Linked DNA regions of Coturnix japonica. The protein of the gene in region 3 interacts with the protein of the main gene of each other region in a biochemical or structural test. Links are inferred from orthologs where the notes say so. Each region holds a gene or a part of one and is shown on either strand. Other genes may lie near its edges.

Region 1 (3,500 bases), on a different chromosome or scaffold from region 3:
ATTGTATGTCAAAATTGTGGATCCTTGAATGAACCCCATGGGTTAGTTGATAAGGTCAACTTAAATTCACTTTTGACATCGGCTTGCCAGAAGGAAGAGCAGTTGCTAGCAGAGGTGAAGAGGCAGGAGCAAGAACAGAAGAAACTCCCAAAGGAACAAAAGGCTACAGATGTAGCACAAACACAGCACCTAGAAAACAAAGAGGTAACTGCTCTCTGGTGGAAATTTCTTTAAGGGATCACATCGGAGAACTTGGACTCCAGCACTGGCATGCTGTTACTGTGAGCAATATTACCTCCCACTTTTTATTTTTAATTCCCTTTCAGTAGTGAAGGGATGCTGTAAACTTTTCCCTTAGTTACCTGAGGTCAGTTCCTGATGGCCTTGAATACTTTAAATGGCTTTCAGGTACTGAAAATGCAAGAAGGGAAGCAGCAAGTATTTGTTAGGATTTTTCTAGCTGTTGGAATAAGGCAGTGGCTGTTAAAGTTACCTTGCCTTCTCTGAACTTGCTTAAAATACTGAATGTTGGAGGCAGCAAAGATACTGAAATGGTTGTATTTAAGTTCAAAACTGGAACCAGCCACAAGATGGCAGCAGAGTCTGTGGAATAGTGTTGCATTTGTGCTGCACTACCACTGGAGTGTGAGACTGTGTTGGAGATGAATGTACACTGTGAACATGAAAGACAAATGAATACATGGATCTTTATTTTCTTTTGAAGCTATATAATTTAATCTTTAAATGCAAAAGGAATGAAATGTAAACTAACTGTAATGTATATGGAGCCGTTAAAAAAGCATGTTGTGGGAGCAAAACTGTTTTTAGCACTTTTGAGATACTCATCTCTCGTTAAGAACTGACTGAAGTTTCATGGAATTTGCTGTTTTAAGTTATTTTCATGACTTGCATTTCTCTCAGTCATACTGTTCCCATCAAAATTGCAATACAGAAAATGCATGTCTCAGAATAAACTGTAAAAGATACTTCACGTAATAGTGTTAAACAACTGGGTGTTAAGTTGCATAGTACTTACAGGACGTAACTTAGATCCAGCTCTGAGGACGTGACAGCTGTATTTAAAGTGCCTTATTTCAAAGGAAACTGCTGTGTCTGTGTTAGGATGAGTGTATTGCCAGCTTACTTATGTCCTCATTAGGCAATTAAGTGGCCTAGTTAAACAAGAGAAGGCGGTGCAAAGTCAAAACTTCAGAACTGACAACTTGTAGGTTTCAGAATTGTGCAGTACAGCAAGGGGGAAGACCAAGATACTATAAGCTACAAGCATCTCATTACAACTTGGAAGTGTAGTAATACTACTGTGTCTAATGTCTGGTAATATGTTCATCTTCTAGAATTCACCTGCCTGCAATTCATACCAGATGACTCCACAGAACCATAAAGATCCAAAGCCCCCCAAGATAAATCCAAATAACTATGGAATGGATCTGAACAGCGATGACTCTACTGATGATGAAAGCCAGCCTCGCAAACCCATCCCTGCCTGGGCCAGCGGTATGTGTTAGCAGGTTAAAATCTGTCCTGAAAGTCTCCAACCAGCCCCAATGCAGCTTTGTTCCCATGGATAATGGTGGTTATAAGATTAAGCCTCTTCTACCAACTGGGAGCTTTGTGGAGCAGCACTGGGGAATAACACTCTTTTAAACCACCTCAACACTACTGCCAGTGTGAGTGTGGAGGAGTTATGAACTGCTGTTCTGGCCTTGAAGTGTGCTAGGCCATGCAGTTTACAGAAGCTGGCTGTTGTCCTGCTTCTAAAATAACTGCCACAGGGGAAACTAAAAAGTTGGTGTGGAAACTGACAGGACCCATAGAAAGAAAAGCTAAGAAACCTTGTCTCTTCCTGGCCAGAATTCAGTATGTTCTCTCACACCAAGGGACCTGTGCTGAAGCTTTAGGCATAATCAAGTGCTTTAAAATGTCAAATGTTACAGGTGTTTTGTATATTGCAATATTTGTGTGATTAGAACCAAAGGGAGCAGGGATGCATGGCATATGAACAGTCTACAAAGCAATTTCAATGGCAAAAAAATAATGATAACTCTGATCTTTTGTTTCTCCAGGGAATCAGCTTAGCCAAGCAATAATCCGCCAGTACTACAACCCTCCCAATGTTGATGCACTCTTTGGGACGATCGTAAGCCCCAAGTTGGAGGACATCTTTTACAAAAGCAAACCACGTTACTTCAAGCGCACCAGCTCTGCTGTGTGGAACTCCCCACCGTTTCCAGGTGCCAAATCAGTTCTAGGTCTGCCATATGGCCTGAAAAAGTACTGAGGTGGACAGTAACTGTCTCCTGTGGAGCAATAATATGCATTTGTGTCTCTCTGGGTGAGAAGAGAGATGCTATTCAATATCCCTAAATCTTTAGGCTCTAGCGTTTAATAAATGTCAGCTCTGACTGGGCCTCTTACATTTTCTATTTTGGAGGCTTGTTTTCTCACTGTTGAGTAAAGTTGCAGGCTATGGGGAGATCTTGCTTCTGAACTGTGCATCTCCTTTTTCCTTCAACCTTAAGATGGCAAAGATTTAGACTTATAGGTCATGAGAATGTATCATCTAAAGCAAATGTGGTTGTTGATGGATACAGTAGGGAAAGGTGTGTCAGTACTGTTCCTGCAGCCCTATGGTGAAAGCCAGAGTATTGTACAGCTAATGACTGCTGTATGCATCTCGAGTCAAGTCCAAAACACTGCTGATGTCCTTAAGAATAAATATATTAGCAGCCATGTCTCCATCTCCTGCAAACTGCAAAATAATTTGGTTTGGTTATCATTAGGAAGCTCTATGTCAACACCAAATGCATTTATGTACATAAGCTATGTTGATGTTACTGCAGCTCGGGAGGAAATATCCTGAGGATCTTAATGACCTTTCTTCTGTTGTTGGAGAGAGATGTGACCCTGGAGTTAATCATGTCTCCAAGAATACCCAGAGTAGCATAAGTAATCTTTGTACTTCCAGCTGTCTTTCAAGTAAATTATACCAAAGGTTATGGTATTCTTTAATTTCCACATTTGTGGCAGATTGGATTAAAAGGATGTTTTTGTTCAGTTTTAGTTCTTGTCTTGTTCCTTTCCCCCTTAGGTATTTCACTTACTCAGCATCAAAGCTGGTTTCATTTTTAGGCCTTCACTTTGCTCTTCTTGCTCAGTAAAGCAATGTTAAAACAGTTTCCTCACAACATCAAAATATGAGCTCAGAATTTCAGCTCTGAGATCACATGGTGTTCTTGTCTACAAGTTTCAGTATAGAGAGAAGTCCCAGTAGGACAGTGACATTTTACAAGGAAACAGTTACGTTAATTTCTGTAGGTTTCCGTGGAAGTCTGTCTTCTGCGAAGTAGACAAAATACATTGTTCTTACCTCAGAATCATCTTTTCTGGGAGGCTTGATTTGGTTTTAAAGATGGGTGAGTATTTGTGGCTGCGGCCTCAGTCAGTGGACTGAGAACACTGTACATACAGCTCGGGTGCTT
Region 2 (3,647 bases), on a different chromosome or scaffold from region 3:
ATAGGAAAACCCCAAAAGAACTGCAGTGAGTGGAAAGAAATCCCTATTTCCAACCATCTGAGCCCAAATGCTGCCCTAATAATGGGAAAATCCAAAGTCCTGTGGGATCTCAGCCATGAAATGGGGCAGAACCAGCCATCAGAACCAAGCCTATAAGGTTATATATACCCCTTATATATATATATATATACCCGTTATATATATATATACCCCCTTATATAAGGTCTATAAGGGGTAAGTCCTCCCCATAAAGGGGAATGGAGTTGGCTAATTGGGGGGGGGGGGAAGAGGGGCTGATGTTCTATGGGGGGGGGAGAAGAGGGGCTGATGTTCTATGGGGGGGGGGGAAGAGGGGCTGATGTTCTATGGGGGGGGGGGAAGAGGGGCTGATGTTCTATGGGGGGGGGAGAAGAGGGGCTGATGTTCTATGGGGGGGGTGGGTGTTTATTATATCCTTATTATATCCTTATTATATCCTTATAATAAACAACAAGGATGGGACGTGTTTAAAGCTCGGAGTTACCGGCCCAACTCATTTATTTCCATACGTTCAAACTCTGAACCTCGTTCTCTCTTATACAAACAAAACTGGGCTGAGGATTCGAGCCCCAGTTCGGGAGCTTCAAATACAAAAAGGAATCTGTGCAAACATCGCAGTGTTAAATCACAGCCCCCCCCATAAACCCCCTTTATAAACTGGGGGGGATGGGGGAAGGCTGGGCCCCCTTATATCGCATTTAAAGAGCTGACGGGTTCACTTTCCTTTAGGTTCACCCCTTATATTTTAGCCCTGTTATCAAAAAAAAAACCCAAAAAAACCCAAAATATATCATTTAATATCACTCAGCCTAAAGGTCAGTTACGCGGCTCGGCAAAATGGAGCCAGAGTTAATTCTATTCAGCAGAACAGAGGTAGTATGGAAGTAGCTTCGCTCAAGTAGAAAGTTATTATCGCGTGGATCCGCCGCGGGGCTGGAAGCAGCGTTACCTCCCCAGTGCTGCAGGGCTCCGGCCTCAATCCTGCCCCATAAGTTGGAGCTATTCGATCCTGGTCTTACGTTGGAGCTATTCAATCCTGCCCCATACGTTGGGGCTATTCAATCCTGCCCTATTAGTTGGGGCTATTCGATCCTGCCCCGTAAGTTGGGGCTATTCAATCCTGCCCCATACGTTGAAGCTATTCAATCCTGCCCCATACGTTGAAGCTATTCAATCCTGCCCCATAAGTTGGGGCTATTCAATCCTGCCCCATACGTTGGGGCTATTCAATCCTGCCCCCTAAGCTGGAGCTATTCAATCCTGCCCCATAAGTTGGGGCTATTCAATCCTGCCCCATAAATTGGAGCTATTGCTGCTGAGGCACCCACCTGCTTTCAGTCCATCTCCGTACCGCCAATGGAACTCAATTGGGGGGCACTCAACCCCATTTGGTGCTGAGACCCCCCTCCGTCCCCCTCCCCACCCTCATTAAGAGCTTAATAAGAACCAGCATTAAAAACCCAGAGCCCAGCTTGTATATGGGGGCAGGGCAGAGCCTGAAGGCGCTGAGCCACCCCATGGGCTCCGAAACCGAATGGTAACGTCCCATTCCGAACGTGTTGCTCTCAGTACTGGGAAAAAAATAAACCGTCGTCGTAGGAAAGTGTTAAAAAAACAAAAAAAAGGAAATAAAATAAAACATTTCTGTGTTTTAAAAGGTCTGTGACTTTTCCTTATTGGGATGGTGGGCAACCAGGCGGCTTCGGGGTCCAGCCGAAAGCTTTGGTTTGGGATACAAATGGCTTGGAAGCCCCTTCCACCCCCAGCTCCCACATTGACCCCAATGAGCCCTCAAGGTTTGAAGGGGCTGAATCCCCTCCATCATCATCCCCCCCATCTCCTTCCAGCCAAGGAGGGGGGTATATGGATAACCCACGTTATCGCTGTCCCCGCGTGTCGCGGGTCAGAACCTGTGCACCAACGCCTCGCGCTCTTTCCGTTTCATCTCCTCTTTATAACAACAGGAGCAGAAATTCCCAGTCTCCGGATGGCCGTAAAAGCTGCAATTTGGCTGTTTGCATTTGGGTTGTTGGATATTACAAACAACCCTCCCTCTTGTTTTATCTATCGCCGTTCCTTTCTGAGCGCCATCCTGATCCACATACTCCCTGTAACCATTGCTGTTGTTGTGCTGGGGGGCAACGCAAGTGAAGGCTTCACACTCTGTATTAAAACCTGGATGAACATCCATGTCCGTAGGGGAAAACCTTCCTACGTGGGGAGGTTGTGGCCGTGCCTGGCTGCAATGCCTGGGTAGGGTGGCGTAAGGGGGGAGGCTGCTGCAGGACCCCCCCGCTACCTGCCGTCGACCCTCGTGGTAACCGGGGGGGTGAGACCCTTCTGTGCTGCTGCTGATCACTGAGGGTCTGGGGAAGGTGAAGACCCCCGAATAACTGGAGGGGAATGAGGCTATTTTAGCCCCGATGGCCAAATCCGGGGGGTGGATGGTGTAGGTTGGGGGGGGCTGGGGGTACACGGGGCCGTGTAGCGTTTCCTCAGCCCTCACTTCCACCTCCAGCTTCTTAACAGGGGCTGCGTTTCCTAATGCCTTTTTTTCAGCCTCTTTTTGCTTCTGCTCGGCCAGGAATCTCTCCTCGGCATCCAGGAGGTATTGCTGGATCATCTCCTCCTGGTACTGGTGCCGATGGCCCGTTTTCAGGTGTCCAGCAAAGATGAACTTGCGCTCTCCCTGCATGGCAGCACGTAGGATGCTGAGGCTGAGCCTCACATCGTTGCTGTATTTATAGGGGTCCGAGGGTTTTTCAGAGGCTGCTTTACCCGTGGTGCAGCTTTTCTCCCCATGAGCACAAAGGTCCCCCTGGGCTGTTTCCTCTTTGCTGCCTTTCCTCGTCTTCAACGATCCCTTCTTCTTCTTCTCCAGGGTGTCCCCCTGCCCGTTGCTCACCCCTCCCTTGATGGTTTTGCTGTGCATCAACCCACCCATGTTCTTTTTTAACTTACTTCCCAAAGTCTTGCCGAAGCTGCCCAGCTTATTGGCCACCGAGTCGGCCCGTTTCTTATCTTTTTCCTTGTCCTTTTCTCGTTCTTTCTTTGGTTTCTCTTTATCTTTGCAGCCTTTGCTGCCCCCGTTACTCGCTGAGCTGCTGCAGACCGACTCCTTGTCTGACTCTCCAGACTCTGCAGCCGAACGGGCATCGTCCCCTGCTGAGGCTGTGGGGGATTCAGGCTGGGCCAAAGGCGCCTGGAAGACAGAAATCATATTATTATGGGCACACAGTGGGATATATGGGCACACAGTGGGGTGTACGGGCACACAGTGGGGTGTACGGGCACAGAGTGGGGATGTATGGGCACAGAGTGGGGATGTATGGGGATGTATGGGCACACAGTGGGGTGTATGGGCACACAGGGGGGTGTATGGGCACACAGGGGGGTGTATGGGGATGTATGGGCACACAGTGGGGTGTACGGGCACACAGACGGGTATATAGGCACACAGGGGGGTGTATGGGCACACAGAGGGGTGTATGGGCACACAGGGGGTGTATGGGCACACAGGGGGTGTATGGGCACACAGGGGGGTGTNGGGGGTGTATGGGCACACAGGGGGGTGTATGGGCACACAGGGGGGTGTATGGGCACACAGT
Region 3 (3,941 bases):
GTGAGATGCTTTGCCATTTATGTCTATGGTAGCTATGAAGCCCAGGTTCTAATCTATTACTTCTGCTTCTAATAATTTCTAAATAGAGGGGAAAAAAATTGGAGCCCAGAGTATAAACACCAGAGAATTGGAAACATGGATTGGTAAGCAGCATGCTTTGGTTTTTTGTTCCTTGTTTGTGGTGTGTATGTGCACCTCACCTATGACTATTACACTTCAGCTGCAAAGAAAGAAGCAGATTTAGTTTTTAAGTGACTGTGAAACTCTCGTGAGGTATTTAGTAACACTTCTAGTACTTTCCTGAAGAATAATAGCTGCATCTACTTCCACAACACCAGCACTTACAGCAAGAACTTAATTTATATCAACTTACTTCTGGACAGAGCTAGAGTCTGTGACCATGGAGGTAAGTCAAGATGTGCCTAGTATGACAGTAATGACAGGAAGTTGGAGGCAGCCAGCACCCAAGATACTATGTATTGTAAGGAACCTTACCATGCTTTTCAATATATAAGCAATCTTTATTTAGATACTTGAGCGCTCACATATAAGACAAAAAACTAGAGACAAAATGCACACATCATTCATTTTTAGGACACAAATGCATTCACCTCAGTTTCAGATTACACCACAGGTATGATACCCTTTAGCAGCCCAGTGAGTTCACAGGCAGGTATCTCTGGGATATTGCACTGTTCAGTAAGATAGAACCATCACTGTCTCTTGTTATTGGAACAATGTGCTATAACTATGACAGACCATACCATAAAGGCCTTGAACAGACCTTGAATACTTACATGAATAAATCTGGCCCACGTGTAGTTATTTTTCAAGTACATTAAGTATTCCACAACATCCAGCTAGAAGTCAAATAGATTACGTTGCAATTCAAGGTCAGTTCAAGATGATAACCAACCCAAAACTTGTGTTCTTAATTGCCACTGGATTCCAAGACCTGCTCTTCTTACTGTATTACAGTAGTCACAGTACAAATCTCCTCGTTAGTCCAATGAGATTACCCTTGTTAAGACTATATTCTGGATGGGGTGGCAACATCACTTCCTATTGTTGGGCAGCTTTGTAGAATTTGCTGTAATCCAGGGATGAACAAGTACATCCTTCAAGGGCAGCCGATGGAATGGGTTATGTTTCAGAAGCTTTGAAATTAAATCTCTTGCACCTTCTGTTACAAATACTGGATACCTGAATTCCACCTAAGAAAAGGAAACAAGACAAAAGATGATGCAATATTCTTTGGCACTAATCAAAACTGGAAAGCAATAGGGTTCTGCCCCCCAAGGTACAGAGAGCAAAGAAAACTGTCAGCCTTGTGGGCTATGTACCTTGTACCTAGTAATTTCATCACAAGGCTCTCGCTGCTTGCCAAAGTTCAGCTAGTGTGCTTTTTTGGGTGCTCCCAACATAAAACCTCATTGCTGGAACCTCTCAAGTTTACAGAACTCTAGAAATATATAATTTAAGTTTTTCCTGATACCTCAAGCAATTAATATTTTATATACCAGAAACATGAAAGTAGTGGAGGAGATTGTGAAGAATAAACTGCTATATGAAAAGGTTGGTGTTCAGATACAGGTAGAAACAGAACAGAACCAAGCAGCCAGGAAAGCTGTCTTTATTGTAATTCTACTGGAGTCACTTCAGGATAGCTTTAGGGATCTAGTTTTCTGTGTATCTCGTTATGGCTTTCCTTCCCTCAAAAGCAATATTAAACTTTCAAGAAGACAAGAAGTGAAACCAAAATTCACCTAGTCAAAGTTATGGTACATACCCTGGAAATAGCTCTGTAGGTTTCTTGATATGTTGCTGCTTCAAAAGGTGGCTTTCCTACAAGGAATTCATAGCACAGAACCCCCAGGCTCCAAATATCCACCTTTTCATCATGTGTTCTTCCCTCAATCATTTCAGGAGGCAAGTAGTCAAGTGTCCCACAGAGAGTTGATCTCCTGAAGAAAAGCACAGAGTACAGTGTATCATTTACCCTTTGTGGCTGTTTGTTAGTATTAGCATCTTGATTCCAGTGTTCTTATCTGTATCTCAGTGTAGTCTACCCCAGATAAACCCAGTATCTCTGGAATTCCATCAGTCATTCTAGGTTTGCTTTGAAGTATTCTGATCATGACAGGCAGTTTTGCCCTTCCTTTTTGCCTCTCCCACTGGCTCACAGGTCAGTGAGGCTTTCTTCATTGGGTGCAGTTCATACTAAGGAAACATTCCAGGTACAGCATGAACTGAAGTTCTGATCTTCATTTCAGGGACCACTGTAACCCTAAACCAGCGCACTAACACCCTTGTTTCAGGTTCAGTAAGTTGTCAGATACACAAATGGAGAAGCAGGATAACGTTCCCTCTATGCTACGCCAATCAAATATTAAGAGCTTGACAGCACTGGCCCAATTATTAAATGCTCCCCCCCAGTATTTCAGTAAGTTGACATTTACCTCCATTGCATAACTAAGTTTGGCAAGAAAGCTATAATTTTCATTACAGAAGAATTTCACTGTACAAGGTATATACTGTGATCTTACCTAGAGGATGGAGCATGCACAGACCATCCAAAGTCTGCAATTTTTAACTCTCCATTTGAGCCAAGCAGCAGGTTTTCTGGTTTGATGTCCCGGTGAATCACACTCTTGGAATGACAGTATGATAGGGCATCTGCTAGTTCTGTAATGTACTGCAAAGAAAACAGAACTGTCAAATATGAAGACACTGATGCTCAAGCTTTATTAGCTACAGTATAATATTCTCTAGTCATAATTAGCAGTTTGGAGCAGAAAAATTGTTCCTTGCACTCACAAGCAACAGATGTTGCTTGAAGTGACCACACAAATTACAGTGCTGGGCAATGCTGAACATTATTCATTGACACTGAAGTTGTTTGTCCTCCCAACATATTCCTAAACAGGCTGCAAGTGCATAAGCAAGCTAGCATCCAAAAAGTTAGTTTTATGCAACTGAAAATTGCTAGCTCTTCAGGAGAAAGTTGCATACTTCAGGTATGCTACACAGGAGCAAGCAACGTACAAGCAATTAGAACAACCTACAGTTGCAGTTCTTTGTTCATCGAATTTGGTGTGCTTCTGTAGCTCCTTGAAGACTTCTCCACGAGGTGCATACTCTAGAATAAGGTAGACTCTTGTAACATCATGGAAGTAGCCGTATAGTCTGAGAATGTTGGGATGCCTGCAAGAAATTGAAATGCCTTCCTGAACATATTTTCTGTGAAACAACTAATTCATTCAGCAAGTTGGGCTTATTTGACAGGAAACAGAATACCAGGAACAAGCTTAGACTGAGAAATTGCAGTCATCCACTTGTAAGAACTGGCCAGGTGCTTGGCTTCTATGTTTGGGTTCTCTTTTCTTTTTGGTCCATGCGGTGGTGGGGCAGGGGCAGAATGGCAAGAACCTTAACAAGCAGTTTCTTAACAAGCAGTTTCAAGGTGTCACGTATTACAGAATTGCTTTTCTTCAAGTGAGTTTACTTTCTTTTTTAACTGAGCATAAACTAAGAAGAGGGTAACAGTTATATTACCTGAGATGAGATTGTATTTCAACTTCTCTTCGTAGTTGATGTTCTACACCAGCATCCTCAAGCTGTGCTTTAAACAACACTTTCAGTGCAAGAATAAATTTACTCTGTTTTTCACGTGCCAAGTATACATTGCCAAATTTTCCTTTCCCCAGAGGACGACCAATTTCAAAATCATCAAGAGACCACTGTCTTCTGCAAAAGGAGACAGAAAGTTACAGAATAATGCTTGAGTGTATCAGCAATGTTCCACTTATATGCTGATAGACTTTAGTCTTTAATGGAACACCACCAAGAGGACAAAACATGCATTGAGACTTCTCAAAGGGAAAGCTTCTCTCTTGCTTCTAAAGCATATGCATAGAGATACAGCTACATACTGCAGCAAA
Region 4 (3,500 bases), on a different chromosome or scaffold from region 3:
GAGCAGAGCCCAAAGTGCACAGGAACAGGCAGACAAAGCTGAAGCACTGCGCCAGGTGGGAAAGGGATGAGAAGTCAGCTGGGTGGCTTTTCTTTCCCCCTTTTCTGGGAAGGAGGTATCCAAAGCCTTATCTGCCCTGATGATGTTAGCAGGTGAATGGAGATGTGTGGATGTGGGGAGAATTCCCGGTATGTTCTGGTTGTTCTTAAAACTAAAAAACAAAACCCACCATAATATACAAAATGGAAATTCAAAGATGTAGTATCTGGTATGTTCTGTTTCCATTCCAATTAGTGTTGTACAACCCAATGGGTCCTGTATTATGTCAGGGGCTTTAACATGCTAATACACGCTGTGCAGGAGGTGTAGCACCTGTCTGTGGGCATGTGGTTCATAGGAGCCCTAACACAGGCTGTCCTGGGACATGAGTGATATTCTGCTCCCATCTTTTCCACTCTATCCAGTACACTACAATTGGTCCTAAGGCAAGGAGAAGGCTTTGTTTAATGCTTGCATGCAAAGCTCTGAACTGATGGGAGGGGGTTGTCTCCCACAGCTCCCCAGATGCCCTGACCTCTCTGACCTTCAGAACGAAGTCTCTAGTTTGATGACTAGAAATGAAAAGCTGCTGAAAGAGAAGGAAGCGCTGAGCGAGGAATTAAGCAGGTGTATTGATAAGGTAAGGCAGGACTGCACACCCGTGTCCCTACCCATGTGCTGTAATGAGGTACTGAAGTCCTTATATCAGAGTCTGCATCCCTTTAAGCAATAGAACTACTTTGGGTTTCCTTCTTACCTTCAGGCCAGATCAAGGTTTCCGTGCCATTGCATATTTTCCCTCATTGCTATTAAAAAGAGCTTTTGGAGCATAGCTTGAGTGCAATTTGGTCACATAGCAAATTCCAAACGTCGTGAGGAGCAGAGGCATGGATAGAAATGTTGCAGCAGGACAAGGAGGGCAGTGTTCTTGCACTCTGTGCTAACTCCAGGCCGGGGCAGCACAGTAAGCATGCCATAAATAATGATCTTGTTGTGCATAGATTGAAACTGAGTTGGTTGGGCTGTGGTTTATTTTTTGCTCCCCTCTAACTTCCTTGCGGAGCTGTAACTCCATCTATCATAACTCCTGAAGTCAAACTGAGTTAAAGAAAATCCCAGATGATTCAGGCTTAGCTGTGTAATCTTATTCCAGGTGGCCAAAGTAAGCTTCTTGGAGAGCACAGTTGGCGGCTTGAAGCAGGAGCAGAAGTCTTGGGAGCAGCAGAGTCAGACCCTGAAAACACAGCTATCAGTTTCACAGGAGAAGGTATAACAGTGGGTTTTGTTACGGTCCTGAATCAAAGCATCTCAGAATTTCTGGTACAGCTTCTTTCATAGAAAACAGCCCTCTTCTAACATGTGCAGAGACTCCGTGCAGCTGAGAATGGGCGCTTTGATGGGCTTTCAAAGTGATGTCCTTAAAGGACAAAAGGAAACTTGTTAAATATGACCTTTTTTTCCCCACTTCCAAGTTCTTCTTGCCAATTCACTCTGTCCCACTGCAGAGATCCTGCTTCTGCTCCCTGCTTTCTGGTGCTAGCTTGTTTCCTAGCAGCCAAGGGAAGGGAAAAATGGCCATTTACTTGGCTGATGGTGCTTCTCTTGACTCTTATTGGCCATGAAGAAATAATTCCAAGAGAATCTCCTTTTCCCAGCATATCGCAGTCAATATTCTGGGATGGAAGGTGTCTGGGTGTGGTATTTTGGCCATATTTAAGAGTGTAAGGCAGCTCATTTGAAGCAGAGACTTGAAGATCTGGTTAGTGTTATAGGAGGGTGGGCCACCAGTGTCACCTCATCACCTCTTTCCAACAGCCAGCAGTCAAATAGCAGATGTTTGTGGCACGTTGCAGGTTCAGAGCTTGGATGAAACCCTGCAGACCACCACCCTCCAGATGTCCCGCCTGAGGTCAGACCTGCGGGTGGCACAGCAGGAGAAGGAAGCTCTCGAACAAGAGGTGATGTCTTTACACAAGCAGCTGCAGAACGCCAATGAGAAGGTAACTGACCTCTATCAGATCCACGTGGGTGACCTATAGATGGGCATCCTGTCTCTGGAGCCAGTCTCATTTTTAGCTTGGCTCATTAATGTACAAGGCAGAAATGGTGCTGCAGGCCTGAGCAAGTAGATTCTGAATGACATTGGTTTTGACTCTTGTAAACACAAGTGATGGAAAGCTCGCAGTCAAACTGGCTGGAGGGAGGAGGGTATAAAAAAAATAACACAATATTTCTGTGCTACTTACTGGTTTTAATAGTTTTCATTTTTAAGAGTTAACTATCATTAGGTTGGTAAGGTTGTTTGCAATGCCAAGCTGATGAGGAGGTGGGTCTGAAGGAGGTGGCAGGCAGCAGTCCTGAATTGGCATTATGAGTTTAGCCCCTGATTTGGCTCCTTTGCCCTGTAATTAAAGGAGTATTTAACATCCACACAGAAAGGAGAGTGCTTGAGAATTGTGCAACAGGAGCTGAATCACAGCTATTACTGAATAATGTGTAATGGGGTTCTGTTATTTACTTGATGAGGCTCCAAAATAGAGCCCTATTTCCCTTTTTGTGCCGCTGAGTTGTGTGTGCACTCACAGTAACCATTCCAGCTGTGATTGTGGTGAAGTGCTTGGCTGCATGCTGGGATGACCATGCTGGATTTGACTGGGAAATGGCACACAGGCTGGGAGGGAGATGGAACCCTGCAGCTACCAAAAGCCTCCTTAAACCCCACCTGAACAGAGAAAACGTCTGCTTCTCTGTTGAAGGCCTAACCCTGCAATTCTGTCTGTCTTAAGAACCGAGTCCTAGCACGGGCTGTGCCTTCCCCAGGGCGCTCACAGCAGGATGAGCTGGAGCAGCTGATGGCCCAGGAGCAGCAGCTGCTGCAGCAGGAGAAGGAACGGCTGCAGAGGGAGGCCCGGAGTTCTGCCACAGAGCTGGTGCATGCCAGGGAGAAGGTAGGGGACCATTCAGATAGTCTCTTGTCTAGGATTCTGGTCTTGCCCCCTCTGCTCTGCACTGAGGGGAGATTACATCCGGAGTACTGGATCTCCTTCTGGGTTCCTCAGTTCTAAGCAGATGCGCAGCAAAGGGCTGCAGAGGTGGTAGGGGTCATCTGGACACTTTCCTGTGCAACCTACTGTAGGGAACCTGCTTTAGCTGGGGATTCATAAAGTCACACAATAGCCTGGGCTGCAAAGGCCCACAGTGCTCACCCAGCTCCAACCCCCTGCTGTGTGCAGGGTCACCAACCAGCAGCCCAGGCTGCCCAGAGCCACATCCAGCCTGGCCTTGAATGCCTGCAGGGATGGGGCATCCACAGCCTCCTTGGGCAACCTGTTCCAGTGCGTCACCACCCTCTGGGGGAAAAACTTCCTCCTAAGATCCAACCTGAACCTCCCCTGTCTCAGTTTCAAACCATTCCCCCTTGTCCTATCACTGCCCACCCTGGGTGGAATGTGGAAGCTCCA

What was found.
Region 1: the proteins of AURKA (region 3) and INCENP form a complex in vitro, tested with the Homo sapiens proteins (3 studies listed by BioGRID and IntAct, with this or other methods). The link is inferred for Coturnix japonica from reciprocal best matches to the Homo sapiens genes AURKA and INCENP.
Region 2: of the proteins of AURKA (region 3) and OTUD7B, one has a biochemical effect on the other in vitro, tested with the Homo sapiens proteins (2 studies listed by BioGRID, with this or other methods). The link is inferred for Coturnix japonica from reciprocal best matches to the Homo sapiens genes AURKA and OTUD7B.
Region 4: of the proteins of AURKA (region 3) and NIN, one has a biochemical effect on the other in vitro, tested with the Homo sapiens proteins (2 studies listed by BioGRID). The link is inferred for Coturnix japonica from reciprocal best matches to the Homo sapiens genes AURKA and NIN.

Annotation. Positions count from the first base shown.
Region 1 is NC_029520.1:7,686,538-7,690,037, reverse strand, and holds part of INCENP (inner centromere protein), read left to right. Parts: intron 1-46; coding exon of another isoform or gene 47-64; exon of another isoform or gene 65-90; coding exon 91-204; intron 205-1,355; coding exon 1,356-1,515; intron 1,516-2,084; coding exon 2,085-2,299; 3' UTR 2,300-3,500. UniProt on the Homo sapiens protein: Component of the chromosomal passenger complex (CPC), a complex that acts as a key regulator of mitosis.
Region 2 is NC_029540.1:381,921-385,567, reverse strand, and holds the end of OTUD7B (OTU domain-containing protein 7B), read right to left. Parts: intron 3,242-3,647; coding exon 1,943-3,241; 3' UTR 501-1,942; downstream 1-500. UniProt on the Homo sapiens protein: Negative regulator of the non-canonical NF-kappa-B pathway that acts by mediating deubiquitination of TRAF3, an inhibitor of the NF-kappa-B pathway, thereby acting as a negative regulator of B-cell responses.
Region 3 is NC_029535.1:10,858,926-10,862,866, reverse strand, and holds the end of AURKA (aurora kinase A), read right to left. Parts: intron 3,748-3,941; coding exon 3,556-3,747; intron 3,205-3,555; coding exon 3,066-3,204; intron 2,696-3,065; coding exon 2,547-2,695; intron 1,965-2,546; coding exon 1,790-1,964; intron 1,215-1,789; coding exon 1,056-1,214; 3' UTR 501-1,055; downstream 1-500. UniProt on the Homo sapiens protein: Mitotic serine/threonine kinase that contributes to the regulation of cell cycle progression.
Region 4 is NC_029520.1:52,541,541-52,545,040, reverse strand, and holds part of NIN (ninein), read left to right. Parts: intron 1-556; coding exon 557-679; intron 680-1,192; coding exon 1,193-1,306; intron 1,307-1,892; coding exon 1,893-2,039; intron 2,040-2,825; coding exon 2,826-2,987; intron 2,988-3,500. UniProt on the Homo sapiens protein: Centrosomal protein required in the positioning and anchorage of the microtubule minus-end in epithelial cells. May also act as a centrosome maturation factor.